4 linked regions of the Oryctolagus cuniculus genome follow. The main gene of each other region encodes a partner of the protein of the gene in region 2 in a complex. Links are inferred from orthologs where the notes say so. Each region holds a gene or a part of one and is shown on either strand. Other genes may lie near its edges.

Region 1 (3,206 bases), on a different chromosome or scaffold from region 2:
GCTATGGCCAGGGAGTGCAGTGGAGGATGGCCCAGGTGCTTGGGCCCTGCACCCCATGGGAGACCAGGAAAAGCACCTGGCTCCTGGCTCCTGCCAGGATCAGCGCGGTGCGCCGGCTGCAGCGGCGGCCATTGGAGGGTGAACCAACGGCAAAGGAAGACCTTTCTCTCTCTCTCTCTCTCTCTCACTGTCCACTCTGCCTGTCAAAAAAAAAAAAAAAAAAAAAAGGGTAAAGCAGGCCTTCATCTACAAATACTAGAGTAGTTTAGAATGGCTCTGTATCTCATGTTTTCCAGCCTCCTGATGGAGCAGGTGGATTAGAACCTTAATAGAATGCAAAGATGACATTTCCCAATTTCTGCTATGTTCCTTTTTTTTTTTTTTTTTAACCCACAACTGCTTCTTTACCTGCAAAGCAGGACCAAACTGACCAATCATTAAACTCTACCGAGAAACCACCTCAAAAGATTATCTGACTCCTATTACCAATGAAAAAATCAAGACACATAAGTTGAAAATTAGTCGCTTTTATTTATGTTAGAAACCTTATGAAATTATTTGCATCTCTACATGTGTGAAACTGCTTTGATTTAACTGAGAAAATAGTTAGGGAAACATATGCAAACCAACTTCATTGCCTCTACACTAGGTTCTTACCTATCTCAGAAGGCACCACATGGCAGCAATAGCAGCTTCCGGGAAATGGGGAAACAGCAGCAAAGTCCTGCAATGCAGCTGTGAATATTAGGGTTCAGCTGTTCATTCCACTAACCCTACAACTTCCTAACAATTACATTACTGCCTAGTCAATCCTAATTCTATAGAATGAACACCTAGCAAAGTGCTTCTTGAAAACAAGATAATTTAAAAAGAACTTCTAGCATTAGAAGGAACGGGAACTACTGCAAAATCTTAAAATCCAGAAAAAGTGATGAAGATTTTCTTAGTGTGGAACCATCAGGTTCAAAATGATCAAAATTCTTCTTACTTCTCTAGGAGTGACTCCAGCTCTTCCTGCAAAGAGCTGAGCTGCTCCTTTTCTCGGTCTTCCTTTTGTTTTAACTCATCCAGCACAGCCTGAAATCTGTTCTTGAGAGCCAGGTTTTCCACCTTCATGATGAGATCCTCCTGTCGCTTGGCCCTGTCCTGGGTCTCCTGGAGCTTGCCTTTCATGTTGTCAATCTGCTTCTGAATGCCCATAACCAGCTGGTTGGTCCCTTCGTTTTCTTGGTGCTGTTCATCTGACTCATTCAGCTTGTCCTGCAGCTGTCTCTCCAGGTCTTCCTCAGTGTCGATGATGTTTATATCTTCTTCGTCCTGGTGCTGGGTGTCATCTTCATCCTCGCTGCTGCTGCTGAGGTCATTGAATATCTCCCGAAGCTCATCGTGCTCCAGGGAGTCCTGGCCCTGCCTGTGGCCAGACATTCCTGGGGAAGAGATGTCAAGGCCTTGATTCTCCGTCTCTTTTGTTTCATCTTCAGCAATTATCTCCCAGCGAGTACTGACAGCTTCCGCATCTGTACTCAGCAACCGCTTCACTTCTTTCTCCACGTCTGGAGACTCAATATACTTTTTCTTTGCTGTCTTCCGGAATCTTCTCTTTCTGACATTCTTTAGAGGCAGAGTAATTCCATGGTTCCAGACGAACTTTTTCTCTTTGTCCTTATCCTTTTTCTTGCTTGCTTTGGGGTCAGCAGCAGCAACTGGCTCCTCCACAGGGGGATAAAGATCACCATCAACTGTGGACACGAGCATCTGACAGATATCAGCAGTCTTGTAAAAGGTTTTTTTATCGATGGTTTTCAAGCTTTCCATAACACACGGCAGATCCACCAGTTTTGAGGCCAGAGGGACCCGGTCCACTCTGACAATTCCATGACGCCCATCGGGGTGTAACTCGATGGTCAGTCTGTCTTTCAGGTTGACATGCCCCGACTGCACTGCCCTCCTCACAGTAGCAGCATATTCTGGAGGCAGGCGCAAGATAAACTGGCTCTCCAGCTCATGAGGGGCATCATCTTTGCTCTTACTCATCTTCACTTCTTTCTGACTCCCTTCTCCTAATAAACACTTGCTGCACTGAAAAGTTTCAGCTACTGCAACAATTTAAAAGACCAGTTCCTTATGAATTAAAATCTAACAACAGAAGGTTCTATGCAGAACAGTAGCTAAGCATCTGTTTTGTCTTAATTTTTAATCAAGCCACAAATCTTTTCTCTAAATATGCTGCACTCCACACCCGCTGTTTGTTACCGACACACTGGCTTATTCAGAGAATTAAGTCCATTTAAAGCCTGGAGCTGCAATGCCGAGTTCCAGCCTCTAGGTGCCGCCTCCAGACAATGCAGACAGAGCAAGCGGGCGAGCGAGCGAGCAGGAAAGCAAATGGCGGCTCCTGCAGAATGAAGACGGCACAAAATTAGGACAAGCAGTCAACACCGACCCAAACCCTCCCGAAACAAGCATAACTGAAAAAGCGGGACGCAGCGAGCTGCCTTTGCCTCGGGTACTTACAATCCAGTGACGGTTATAAATTCAGCTTCGCGCCGGGCGCAGGCGGCGGGGGGAGGAAGCCACTCGCTGCAAAGCGGCGGGGAGCCTCTTCTCTCGCCGACTCCTTTGTTCTTCCTGCTGCTCAGCTGAGTGATCCGCTACTGATTACCAATGCTTCGGTCCCGGCGGGAAGCGCGAAATTTCGCCGAGACGCGCTGCGCAGAGCCACACACCGGAGGCTCCGCAGGCGTCTGCCTGCAGCCGCTTGCAGAGCTGGCTTTAAAGCCGCGCTGCGTCACGGCGCGGGGCGGGAAGCGGCCGTGAGTGACAGCACGGCCGGGCGGAAAGACGGCCCGCCCCGAGCGCGCGCAGACGCAGTCGCGGCGCTGCGATTCCGGCCGGGACTCGTTCTCTGGATCCAGGGGAATTGTTTTAGGGCGTGAAAATGAAGTTTCCTGCCGACCTAGTTTGAAAATAAGAGATAACGATTGCAGGAAGGTCACAGAGCCTCCCCCTGCTGAGACAGCATTTGTACCGGACCGGCAAGCGCCGAGATAGCGTCTAGACTTCGGGGGTCAGGGCATGTTTGCAGAAAGCGTTTTGCTTCGGGAAACGTCTCGCGTGTTCCCCAGGAGTTACCCATTCTGGTGTCGGTGCAGGAATTTGTAACTAACCACAAAGTGGATTTAAAAGTTCCCAAATCAATGGCGTAA
Region 2 (4,195 bases):
CGGTGTCTGAAAAGGACAGCATTCTGTCCCCCGCGGCTGCTGTGGGCGGAGCTGCTGACGGGCCTGGGGCAGTGACGGGGAGCGGCCAGCTCACCTTGGTGAAGGTCTTGGTGATCCGGGACTGGATGTTGTTAGTGGTTGTGCTGAAATGCTTGCAGATCTGAGCCACCAGGCGGGCGGCAAAATCCCGGAGTGCCCAGTGATTGTCCACATCGGGTCGCAGGCACAGCTGCCTGCTCACAATGCAGGTCATCACAGCTGGAATCAGCTCATGCACCTGACGGAGAGGCGTGGCTCAGCTGAGCCCGCCCGGCAGGTGCCGCCTCGGTGGCCGCGGGGAGGCCGGAGGGCAGGCAGGGGCACTCACGTATTTTTCTAGATACAGCGTAGGGTTGTCCATCAGCGCCTTTACCATGCGCATCAGGTAGATGAGCAGGGCCAGGTTGTTCTGAACTACGTTCACACGGACCTGTGGCCGGGGAGAGGTGGGGGCAGTGAGACCCCCCGAGGTGCAAGAACTCAGAGCACCCCTTGCTCCTGCTGAACCTCATCCTCACCCCCTCTGAGATGAAGGTGCTGAATCGCGGCAGCATCTGGTAGAGGCCCGGGTCCGTAGCAATGCTCTGCAGAGCCTCCTGTGGGAGAGGGGGAGCGAGTGAGGCGGGGCGGGATGGTGGGACAACCTGGAGCCCCAGAGGAGGCGTCCTGGGGGGAGGGCGGGCCGGCGGGGCGGTGGGGCCTCACCGCTCTCTTGGCCTCGCAGGACCCCACGCAGGCTTCTGTGATCTCCTTGTAGTACAGCTGCTGCTCCACGGACAACTCGTGGATGCTCCGGGGCTTCAGGCGCAAAGGGGTCCCCTCCAGCAGGGGCGGTGCCTTCTTCTCTTTCCCTGTGGGAACCGAGGACACAGGTTTGCAGAAGGAAGCTCCAGAAGATGCCGCGGTGCCAGACAACCTCGACGTCCCACATCCCCATCCAGGCGGCCTGGCTCCCTCTCCTAGGGTTCTCCATCCCTTCCGGGCCTCACTGGCCATGACCTCACGCACTTCACAAACGACCAGTGGGCGTCGGGAGGAGCCTGGCCCAGCAGCACTGACCTTTGCCGTCGGCTGGCGCGGCCCCTTGACCTTTGCTTTTCAGGGGCCCATCTTCCTCCTGGCCCGGCTTTGTGGACTTGAGGGGTTCTGTGGCCTCAGCCTTCTGCTGCTCTTTGGGAGCTGGAGGGAAAGGTGTCCCAGCAGGAGAGGTGACGCGAGGCAGGAGGAGGGGATGGAGGACAGGGCAGGGGTGGGCGCTGGGTATGGCGGTTACCTGGGGGTGGGTTCTCTGGTATAGCTGGCTGGCAGCCTTCAATGCTCAGCCAGTGAGCTGCAGGAAAGAGGTGTCAAGTTGAGGTGCGGGACCTGGACATGAGGCGGCCACGCCACCCTGAGGGAGGCGTGTTTGTCCCTGATCCCCTTCTTGCCACTCACCAGAGGCCTGCTTCTCTTCTGACTTTCTCACACCCACACCCACACTCCTCCTCCCCGCCACCCCGCCCACCCCTGCCCCGACCTTTGAGGCAGACGTCCAGGGGCACCCGGGGCAGCGGGGTGTTGATGATGTCGCTCAGATCAACCTCCTTCTCCTCGTAGAAGTACAGCTCCCGTCCCCCGCCAGAGGCGAAACGGAAAGGGATGAACTCCTGAGCGTGGAAGCCATAGAGGGGCTGCAGCAGGAGAGACGCAGACACTGAGAGAGGAGCCCGTGGAGGCCTGGCCGAAGGTCAACGCAGCATCTGGAAGGCTGGCGTCTCCGCTCCCTGCTGCCACCCCTCCGCCCCCGTCACCTCGACGTTCTTCAGCTTCAGGGCGTAGTCAATGTCGCTGGTGGTGAGCTTCTGCCGCTTACCCATGTGCATGAACTTCAAAGCGTCCTGGGGAGGAGGGAGAACAGACATCATCAATCCAAGACCTGGAGGGAGAAGAGGGCCCAGGCGACACCCTGGACGGAAGGCCCCGGCTACCTGGGCGATCTCCTTGATGCGGTAGCTGACCTCATCGGTCAGCAGCTGGCAGGTCTCCTCCTGGATCTGGGCGATGCCCATGGACTCGGCCACCACCTTCATGGATTCCGAGGGCAGCACGGTGTTGCTAAGTTTCAGCTTCTTCTCCTCAGCCATTCTGGAACTCCTCCTCCCTGAAGGAGGATGCTGTAGGGGAGAGACAGGGAGGAGGCAAAGAGGAAAACAACCCAAAGTCCCCACCAAAACCGAATTCCCAGTCTCCCTTACCATCTCCAAGCTCAGCTCTCCATGTATCCAGGCACTCTTTATCCCACCCTCCCATCAGATCCACCAAGTAATCCAACCTGATTCTTTTACTTAGTTTGGCCCAGGTCACCACCATCCACCTATTGCCTGGGTAACTCCTTCCTCTCTACACGAATTCCCAACATAGCAGCCAAAGTGACTCTGCCAAAATGTAAGCCAGATTGAAGGCCGGCGCCGCGGCTCACTAGGCTAATCCTCCGCCTAGCGGCGCCGGCACACCGGGTTCTAGTCCCGGTCGGGGCGCCGGATTCTGTCCCGGTTGCCCCTCTTCCAGGCCAGCCCTCTGCTGTGGCCAGGGAGTGCAGTGGAGGATGGCCCAGGTGCTTGGGCCCTGCACCCCATTGGAGACCAGGAAAAGCACCTGGCTCCTGGCTCCTGCCATCGGATCAGCGCGGTGCGCTGGCCGCGGCGGCCATTGGAGGGTGAACCAACAGCAAAGGAAGACCTTTCTCTCTGTCTCTCTGTCCACTCTGCCTGTCAAAAAAAAAAAAAAAAAATGTAAGCCAGATTGTCATTTCTCCACTGAAAACCTGGAGCATCAGCCAGCTCTTTGTTACTATAATGAAGTCCCTGAGGCATGCTACTCCATAAAGAGGTTCACAGCTCACAGGGGCTGGCAAGTCCCCTGCCCCCACGCTGCCTCACGTCCTGGTGGGATTGTATGTGTGTATCTCTGTTCTTATAAACCCACCAGGATTCAATTACAAGGGCTTCACCCTAATGACCTTATCTAAACCTTAACACCTTCCAAAGGCCACGCCTCTAAACGCCAAAGTCAGATTTAAGCTCCCACCCCCTTAACACCATTAGCGTGACTCTGGGGATTAGAGCTGGTGGAAAAGTCGTATTCAAACCACAGTTCCCTGTAATGGCTCCTTGTCTACCGACCCTTCAAGGTCTTCCCTCTCCCATTCCACCTCTGGCCTGTTCCTTCTTCCACCTTGCCACAACCACCTGCGAGGCGTGCTCTTGCTCTACGGCCTCGGCTCTCTCCCTCTGTCTAGGAGTCTCTCCTCATAAAGTCCCTCTACAGCTTCATGCTCAGGAGTCCACTCGTTCCTTTTCTCCTCTGGTGGGGGCCAGCTTTATTGCTACCTATGCTGACCACCCTATTCGTCTGCCCTCATTCCATTGCATTTTGCTCTGTCCCAGAGCATTTAATCAATACGCCGCACCACTTCTTATTTTTGGCATTCTTATTATCAGTGCCCGAATCGCCCACCATGGAGACAGGGATCTCTGTTTTGCTCACTGATGTATTCCTGAAACCCAGGCTGGTGCCCGTGACACCGGAAGTAATAAATAGTTGTTGAGTAAATGAATGGACTGTAAGGCTGAGAGGTGTCGATGCCCAGTAAGTTTTCAATATCACTAGTGCCAAGACGAATAAGCCACAGGCTCCGAAGGAGAGCGGCACGCACGGAGCTTGGCGTTAGGAAAAGGAACATCAGGGGTGTTCAGGACTCGGTGGAGACAGGCCGGGGGCGGGGTGGGGGAATGGAGGCAGGAGGACCTGGTTCTTCTGAAGCAGTCCTAGGTCTTCACCCCCGCTTTCACATCTGAAGGGAACACAATTATTCAACACATACTCCGTGCCTGGCGCCGGGCGAACTCCGACTAGTTCTCCAGTACCAGTGCCCTCTGCCAGTAAAGGCTCATAAGACACGCTACAGCCGCAGGAGCTCCTCGGGGCGGCGGGGGCGGCGGCGGCGGCGGCAGGAAGGCTTCTCGGAGGAGGTCAACTCGAGCTAGAGCTGGGAAGTCGTCTTCCCCAGCGGAGAAGCGGGTCGGAGATCCTCAGGCAACACGGAAGGGCGGCTCAGAGAGCCCACCCCATCTCCCCCAGGATCCGTCCAAGGCAAGCACACACGCGGGACCCCCAC
Region 3 (4,293 bases), on a different chromosome or scaffold from region 2:
TAAGTAATGACGCGTCTTCCCTTTCACCTGCTGTTAAATCGGAGACGTCCTGACTTTTGAGCTGGGAAGATGAAAAGAACTCTATTATATATTTGTCCTACTTTCCAGGCTTGGCTAAGGTTAAGACATCATCCTCATAACACAACAGATCCACTTATTGTGTAGTTTTTTTGTCCCAGAACTGACTGTTCCACCCAGTATAAGATACAGTATCTCTCCTCAAGGAAGGTTAGTTAGGCTGTAGAAAGAACCAGTTAAATAATCTAGTTTTCCAGTTTAGCTATGATCACAGCTTCAGTGTCTGTATACAAGGATAAAGAAATGGCCAAGATCATGAAAACCACTCTCTCCATGGACTCTCTCTCCTGCTCATTCCTTACAGGGGATGTCACCAAAGCCCTCTCCAGCCAGCCAGCTCTTCTCCTCTGGATCCAAAGATATTTTTACTATTGACGATTCAATTTAGAAAGATTATTAAAAAGGAGGCCCTGGAGTGAAAATCTGAGATGCTGGTTGGGATGTCCATGTCCCCTATTAGAGTGTCTGAGCTGTTTTGGGCATTTGGAGTGTGAATCAGCAGATAGGCCATTTTTTTTTTCTAATAAGTACATTCTTTGAAAATCAAAAATATGTAGGGGCCAATGCTGTGGCATAGTGGGTTAAGCTGCTGTCTGCAGCACTGGCATCTCATATGAGTGCCAGTTCAAGTCCTGGCTGCTCTACTTCTGATCCAGCTCCCTGCTAATGTGCTTGGGAAAGCAGCAGAAGATGGCCCAAAGATGGCCCAAGTCCTTGGGCCCCTGCACCCATGTGGGAGACCTGGAAGAAGCTACTGACTCCTGGCTTCAGCCTGGCCCAGCTCTAGCCACTGTGACCATTTGGGGGAATGAACAGGCAGATGGAAGCTTGCTCACTCCCCACCCCCCACCCCCAACTTTGTGATTCTGACTTAAAGAATATTAATAAATATTTTACATACTTACATGCATTATGTTACATATTTAAAGCTAATCCACAGTGCTGGCCCCAACATAATCAATTTTTATCGAAAGGCAGAGTTACAGAGAGAGGGAGAGACAGAGTTCTTCCATCTGCTAGTTCACTCCCCAATTGGTCACAACCACCAGGGCTGGGCCAGGTGGAAGCCAGAAGTCCTACATGGGTGCAGGTGCTCAACTTGGGCCACCTTCAGCTGCCTTCCCAGGCACATCAGCAAGGGCCTAGACTGGAAGCGGAGCAGCCAGAACTGAACCAGTGCCCATATGGGATTCTGGGGTTGCAGGTAGCTTAACCTGCTGTGCCACAATGCTGGTCTTTGATTAATTTTTTTTTTTTTTTTTTTTTTTTTTTTTTTTTACAGGCAGAGTGGACAGTGAGAGAGAGAGAGACAGAGAGAAAGGTCTTCCTTTGCCGTTGGTTCACCCTCCAATGGCCGCCGCGGCCGGCGCGCTGCAGCCGGCGCACCGCGCTGATCCGATGGCAGGAGCCAGGTGCTTCTCCTGGTCTCCCATGGGGTGCAGGGCCCAAGGACTTGGGCCATCCTCCACTGCACTCCCTGGCCACAGCAGAGGGCTGGCCTGGAAGAGGGGCAACCGGGACAGAATCTGGCGCCCTGACTGGGACTAGAACCCGGTGTGCCGGCGCCGCAAGGCGGAGGATTAGCCTAGTGAGCCGCGGCGCCGGCCTAATTTTTAAAAATGTTTCAAAAGCATCATAATTCTATCCTCTGCTGGCTCCAAACTTCTATATTGTAGTGAGCTCCTTTAGTGGACCATGCTAATTATTCAATTCCTTTGCGTCCTTGAGACCCATTTTAACTTTTCCTTCTTCAGCTTTGTCAACTGTCTTCTCTTTTTCTAAAAGCTTACCGTGTATGTTTTGGTGACAAGGCTATCCATCTAACGTTCAGTCCATGAGCTCTTCAGTTCCTTCTGCCTCTAAGATCCTAGAAATTCTCTCTTTAGAAAAGGAACCCACAGGACGCTGAGATTCTGGTCGCGATTGTTGCGCGGTTAGGCAACCCTGCTGAGCTATCCTGAGAGCACAGCTGATGGATTTGGTGTTTTTACGTTATAGAAACCCCTGGACATTAGCACGGAGGACACTGCAGCAGCTGGATGAGAATATGACTTCAAAGTCTCCCGTTAACAGATCTGATCAACTCTGCCTCCTGTAAAGACGAAAGCTGTACTTAAACAACAATTAACTAAGAGGACCTATAGTGCGGTGAAAGGCGCGCTGGGAATCCTGGATTTTGGCTCTTGCACTAAGTCTCGGGATGACAGTACCGACTTCATCAATAGGAAAACCAAGAAGCTATTTAAAATTCACTTAGATGTAGCTTTAATCCCGAAAGGCAAGGACTAAACATATTAAAACCTAATGCTCGAGTCTCTGGAACCAAACCAGCACCACAGTTTTGTTGCTCCTCCCACACTCCCCGGACGGCAGATCTAGAGGGAATCGTGGCGAGCTCCGGGTAACACAATCCCGGCGTATGCCTCCAACCTCAGTCACACTTCTCTGCCTACCTCGCCTTCCTCCGCTGCCGCTTCTTTCAAGTCCGCGTCTCCGTCTCCGTCCGCTTCCTCCGGGATCCCGTCCGTGTCCGCAGTCCCCGGGCCCCCAGGAGCAGCAGTCGTCTCGTCTGACTCCCCTGCTTCCCCACCTTTGTCCGCAGGAGACTCGCGGGCATTGTCCATCACAGCTAGAACGGCAAGGGGAGGAGATCGCGGTGCTGTCGGCCGCGGAGCTCCGGACCTCGCGCGGCACAGTGGGCGCTTACTTCCTGTCGTCGCACCGCGATGTCGTCACCACTACTGGTCCTCGGAAGGGCCATGGGGGGCGCGCGGAGCACCTGAGGGCTCCGTTTGAATCCTGGGTGGGTGGTGCTGGAGAGAGAACGCTGAGGGTGCAAAGTCCCCTGTGGATCCGTCCTTGGAGACCAGCACCTGTGAAGAAGTGCAGTTGTGCTTCCTGAAGGGTTTCTTTTTCCTTTCCGTCGTTCTAAGAATGCTTTGTCAGTTAACCTCTTCCTCAAAGTTGGAGGACCTGGGAGAAAACTGCTCCTTTTGTACGCGGCTGTCGCGTAACCTTGGGGTAGCAAACTTTCAGGCAGGGACTCAACCTCCTTTATTTCACCTGGACAGACTGCGGGCCTGACTTTACATTGAATTGCCACCATTTCCCCTCTACGAATATTTCACGAGCACCTTAAAAAAAAAAAGTCCTATTGCTTGAGCAGTGTTTATCCAACCCATTCATTCACTCCACGAGTGTTGACTGCCTGTTTCTGAGTCCGGAGCAGCGCTAGTACAGGGAAAAAACATTTTCTACCGAATTAAATGATTTTTCCAGTTCGCCAGTGCTGAAAATCGGGATAGGTTTCTCAAGCCTGACTTCTGTTACCCACTCAGTCTCATCATGAGGAATCCCTACAGGGTGGGAGGTCTCTCCTTTGAGCGCTTCACTTTAATGAGCCATTTCACGGATTGGGATGGTGAAGGGGCTAGGATATTTCTGCTTTTAAAATGTCCTGCCTTTTTTCATTGAGGCACGCGGAGGGAGGGGCAGGGCGTTTTATTCACCTCTGTATTACCAGGCTCCCGCACCTGTTACATACTGCTTTATGCTTAAAGAACGGACTTGGAAATGTAGGTGCGTATTACCATATTTCTCTCTTTGTTTCCACACCGCCGGGACGAATTACCGTATTTCCTGTCCCGTGAGCTCCCAAAACCTTTGGAAAAGAAGCGCACTTTGGAGGCGTACACAGGTGGGTCCCCTTTGTCCCTTTCCACTTCTTCAATGGGTACCCACATGGCACTGCCCCATTGACCCCCAAGTCCTGTCCTGACACACCAAGGTCCACCTGCACAGGGACGCGGAGCCCCGCCCAGCTAGGTGGGCAAGGGGGCGGGGCATGGGGGCGCGGTGACGCGTGACGCCGGATCCCGGAAGTGACGCGCTCGTGGGGAAAAGGCGGGGGGGGAGGGGGGTGGTGTCCCCGGCCGGTTTAGGGGGTGCGTTGCCCGGAGACGGAAAGTTTGGGAGCCGAGCCGGCTCCACGGTGGCCCCGGGGTGGGGGGTCCTGGGGTGGCGGCCCTGGGGATGGGGAAGGAGCAGGAGCTGCTGGAGGCGGCCCGCACCGGGCACCTCCCGGCCGTGGAGAAGCTGCTGTCCGGGAAGCGGCTCTCCTCAGGCTTCGGGGGTGGCGGCGGCGGCTCCTCTGGGGGCAGTGGCGGCGGCGGCGGCGGCGGCGGCGGCCTCGGCTCTTCCAGCCACCCTCTCTCC
Region 4 (3,408 bases), on a different chromosome or scaffold from region 2:
TGGTGACAATAATTGTAGCTCTACCCACAGTTGTTCAGATACATAATCCTGTCCCAAGGGTCAGAGGTCTCTTCCTGTATGACACACTCAAATTCTGAAGCTCATCTTAATTTTCCTTGTATTCGCAGGTGGCACTGGAAGGCCTTCGGCCCACCATCCCACCAGGTATTTCCCCCCATGTGTGCAAGCTCATGAAGATCTGCATGAATGAAGACCCTGCTAAGCGACCCAAATTTGACATGATTGTGCCTATCCTGGAGAAGATGCAGGACAAATAGAACTGCAAGGTCCTTGCTGAAACTCCAAGGTGTCAGGACATGGTTGGGGGAGTGTAACTCCCCAAAGCAGTAGGCCTCTGGTTGCCTCCCCTGCCTCCAGTCATGGTACTACCCCAGCCATGGGGCCCATCCTCTGCCCCCATCCCTACCACTGTGGCCCCAAAAGGGGCTGGGCTCAGAGCTTTGTCACTTGCCACACGGTGTCTCCCAGAATGGGAGGGATCAGCCCCGCCTGTCACAATAAAGTTTATTACGAAAACAGGCTGGTGTGGGGACATGGGGATAGAGAAGTACATTTAGGTTGCGTGGCTCAGGTGAAGTAGTGCGGCTTCTTCACATTGATGCCATACTCGCTGAGGGCAGGGGTCAAGTCCTCCATGGTTAGAGTGTACTTGCGGTCCTGAGGGAAGAGGGAAGAGTACCAGCTGAGCACAGGAATCCGAGATTGAAGTCCCAGGTGGGTGATCCTGAGTAGCCTTACACCTCCCCTGGGACTTAGTTTCCCCACAGGGCTCTCAGGATAAGTTAAGCCTCCGCTGCTGTGGAGGGTAATTACTGGTTAAGTGAGCCTCCCCTCACACCTTGCTCTTGCTCCGGGAGCTGCCAGAGGCTGTGCCCTTCATTTTGCAGTGCTGTAGGGCATCGTTGGCAATATCTGAGATGAATTTCTGGGCAGCTAGGGAGATGAGCCGAATTCTAGAGAGAAAAAACTGGTATGAGAAGGAGGTGGACAACAACCTGCAGAAGCACTCAAAGCTCTAGCCTACCCTGGGTTTACTCACATGCGTGGGTCTGAGGCCTCAAAGCCAGCACGGTTCAAGTAGTAACCAGTCACTGCGTCTGGGATCTGAGAAATCAATGAGACAACTGTCAGCATTAGTCCTGCTCCCTGCTGGGCTGTGGGAGGAGGGTGAGGGAGAGAGGATAGGCCTGGCTATCAAGAAGCTCACAGTTTGGGTGGGCGGAGGGACTAAATCACAAGAGCTAGTAGGGGAGCAAATGTAAGATGACGCTGGAAAGCACGGAGGTGTGGCTGTAAGTTGGCGTGGATGCGGGCCAGATGGCCTTGTTCAGGCGGGAAGCCCACCGTAGGCGTATAGTCCTCCAGCTGCATCAAGAAGTCCACCAGAGGCGTGCTAGACACCACGGGCTTCACGTCTCCGTTGGCCGCGCTCGGTAGTACGTAAACCCCGTTAGACATCGCCCCCTCCGGGGGTGCCGCGCCGCCCGCCGACACCGGAGCTGGAGGAGAACCAGCAAACTGAGACACGGAGGTGACAGGCGCAGGGTCCCAGGCAGATCTGCCTTGTACCCTCAACCCTCACCCGCCGCGAAGCCCCGTCCAAGGCTCTTCCCTCACCCTCACCCGTCCCGGCCCTCACCCGCCCCGCGCCGTTCGGTGGGCTCCCCAGCCCGCGCCGCCACGGGTCCCGCGCCCCCGGCCGCGGCTCCAGCCCCAGGCCCCCCTGCTGTCCCCGCGGGGCTGGCCTTGTTCTCCGCGGCGGTGCTGGTGGGCAGCGCGGCGGGAGCCGAGACCGGGGGTGCCGGGCCCGGGGCCGAGGCGGCGGAGGCCGGCGCCGCCTCGGGGTCCGCGCCGGAGCCGCTGCAGCTCATCGGGCTGGTGGGAGAGGCGGCGAACAGAGCCGCTTCCGCTTCCGCTCACGTTACGCACACCCCAGAGTGACGTCACGCGCTCCCCGACTCGCCCCGCCTGTCAATATTTGCTCGGTCCCTGCGGCTTCCCGCCTCCTTTCTTTGCCTCACGGCGGGTTAGGCGAGGAGGCAAGGGGGCGGAGACCAATCCGGGAGAACTACGCGGTCGCCATTCCACCCTCCACCCCGCGGTGCTCCCAGTCGACTCCGCACTTGTGGGTCCCGGGCTCTAATTACGGGTCGAGGACTCCTCATTCAATCGGACGTTCCAAGACCTTGATTTGGGGCTCATCGGCCCGGCACCCCTAGTCTGCCAGTCCGCATTTTCCTGGTTTCCTTATTCAACCTTTTAAAGGTTCAGAGTGGCGTTGGAAAGCCCCCTCCCAAGCCAACTGCCTGCAAGGGAGAGTGCCGCATTCAGTGATGCTGTAGATGGAGAGGAGAGTATTTCAGCCTAAGGAAACAAAATCACATCAAGCGAAAGCATGAGGTTTCCCATTCCGCAAACATTTATTTAATTCGTATTTGCCAACTCTTGAGCCACTCTTGACTGGGAATACAAAGTTAAGTAGGACAAAATTCTAGTTCTGTAGGCACCAGTGGTCTTGGAAAAGGAGGTAAACTGGCAATTTCAATACCATATGGGCGTTAACGATGCTAGAGGTAGGCAGTGCGTGCAGTGCAATGGAGGAAGGGAACAATTGCTGCCTACTTCCAGGTGCCAAGCGCTCCGTCGGCATTATTCCACTGAATTATTCCCTGATTGTTATGAAAGACAGGTAATGAGGAAATGGGCTCAAGGCGATAAACTCTTTTGCTCAAGGTTCTCATTTGTATTGCAACCAAGGTTCACTCAGGTTTGGTTACAAAAATCTAGGATTTTTATGCTACACAAAAATCAGTTAGCTTCTGGGAATCTAAACCTTCAATGAGATGACTTTAGAGCTGAGTCTGTAAAGAATCCTGGAAATTAACCAGGCATTTCTATCAGGGGTGGCTTCAACTAGGGCGAGTTCCTTAAGGGAAGGAAAAATGATTTTGTTACTCAGGAGCAAATAGCAGAAAAGGTTTGTGAACCAAGCCTGAACTTTATCCAGTAATTTTGAAGGATTTTAATCAAGTAAATGGCCTGAGGAGGTTTACATTTTACTTTGGAAAATGTATTAAGGCTGGGTAGGAAGCATGGACACTATTTTTGCAAGGGCCTCCTGCATATTCAGAAGAGAGAGAATATGGTTCAAAGCTAATATGGTAGCACTGGGAAAAGAGAGAATGGGTAAGTTCTAAATATATTTAAATATAGTTGGAATGCATTGTAAATTGATAAACACTTTTTTTTTTAAGAGGCAAAATCTGTAGGGATGTTGATTGAATATGGTGATAGGTGAAGGAAATAGAGGAGTCAAGGATGGCACAGATTTCAGGCTTGGTTGGAAGAGACATAATGTTGTTTACCAAAGACAAATAATAGGTCGAA

What was found. Proteins that work in one complex are often made in the same cells at the same time.
Region 1: TAF6 (region 2) and TAF7 share a complex: the UniProt entries of both Homo sapiens proteins name them as parts of the TFIID basal transcription factor complex. The link is inferred for Oryctolagus cuniculus from reciprocal best matches to the Homo sapiens genes TAF6 and TAF7.
Region 3: TAF6 (region 2) and TAF11 share a complex: the UniProt entries of both Homo sapiens proteins name them as parts of the TFIID basal transcription factor complex. The link is inferred for Oryctolagus cuniculus from reciprocal best matches to the Homo sapiens genes TAF6 and TAF11.
Region 4: TAF6 (region 2) and TAF10 share a complex: the UniProt entries of both Homo sapiens proteins name them as parts of the TFIID basal transcription factor complex. The link is inferred for Oryctolagus cuniculus from reciprocal best matches to the Homo sapiens genes TAF6 and TAF10.

The regions. Positions count from the first base shown.
Region 1 is NC_091437.1:28,859,460-28,862,665, forward strand, and holds TAF7 (transcription initiation factor TFIID subunit 7), read right to left. Parts: upstream 2,035-3,206; coding exon 985-2,034; 3' UTR 512-984; downstream 1-511. UniProt on the Homo sapiens protein: The TFIID basal transcription factor complex plays a major role in the initiation of RNA polymerase II (Pol II)-dependent transcription.
Region 2 is NC_091450.1:42,376,093-42,380,287, forward strand, and holds the start of TAF6 (transcription initiation factor TFIID subunit 6), read right to left. Parts: upstream 2,804-4,195; 5' UTR 2,277-2,803; coding exon 2,007-2,276; intron 1,917-2,006; coding exon 1,830-1,916; intron 1,710-1,829; coding exon 1,556-1,709; intron 1,370-1,555; coding exon 1,313-1,369; intron 1,219-1,312; coding exon 1,099-1,218; intron 891-1,098; coding exon 745-890; intron 636-744; coding exon 558-635; intron 470-557; coding exon 368-469; intron 278-367; coding exon 95-277; intron 1-94. UniProt on the Homo sapiens protein: The TFIID basal transcription factor complex plays a major role in the initiation of RNA polymerase II (Pol II)-dependent transcription.
Region 3 is NC_091436.1:134,549,501-134,553,793, reverse strand, and holds the start of TAF11 (transcription initiation factor TFIID subunit 11), read right to left. Parts: upstream 2,812-4,293; 5' UTR 2,703-2,811; coding exon 2,532-2,702; intron 62-2,531; coding exon 1-61. Other genes in the region: ANKS1A (ankyrin repeat and SAM domain-containing protein 1A), read left to right, coding at 4,111-4,293. UniProt on the Homo sapiens protein: The TFIID basal transcription factor complex plays a major role in the initiation of RNA polymerase II (Pol II)-dependent transcription.
Region 4 is NC_091432.1:60,280,593-60,284,000, reverse strand, and holds TAF10 (transcription initiation factor TFIID subunit 10), read right to left. Parts: upstream 1,930-3,408; 5' UTR 1,893-1,929; coding exon 1,661-1,892; intron 1,521-1,660; coding exon 1,366-1,520; intron 1,126-1,365; coding exon 1,061-1,125; intron 975-1,060; coding exon 860-974; intron 679-859; coding exon 589-678; 3' UTR 512-588; downstream 1-511. Other genes in the region: ILK (integrin-linked protein kinase), read left to right, coding at 129-278. UniProt on the Homo sapiens protein: The TFIID basal transcription factor complex plays a major role in the initiation of RNA polymerase II (Pol II)-dependent transcription.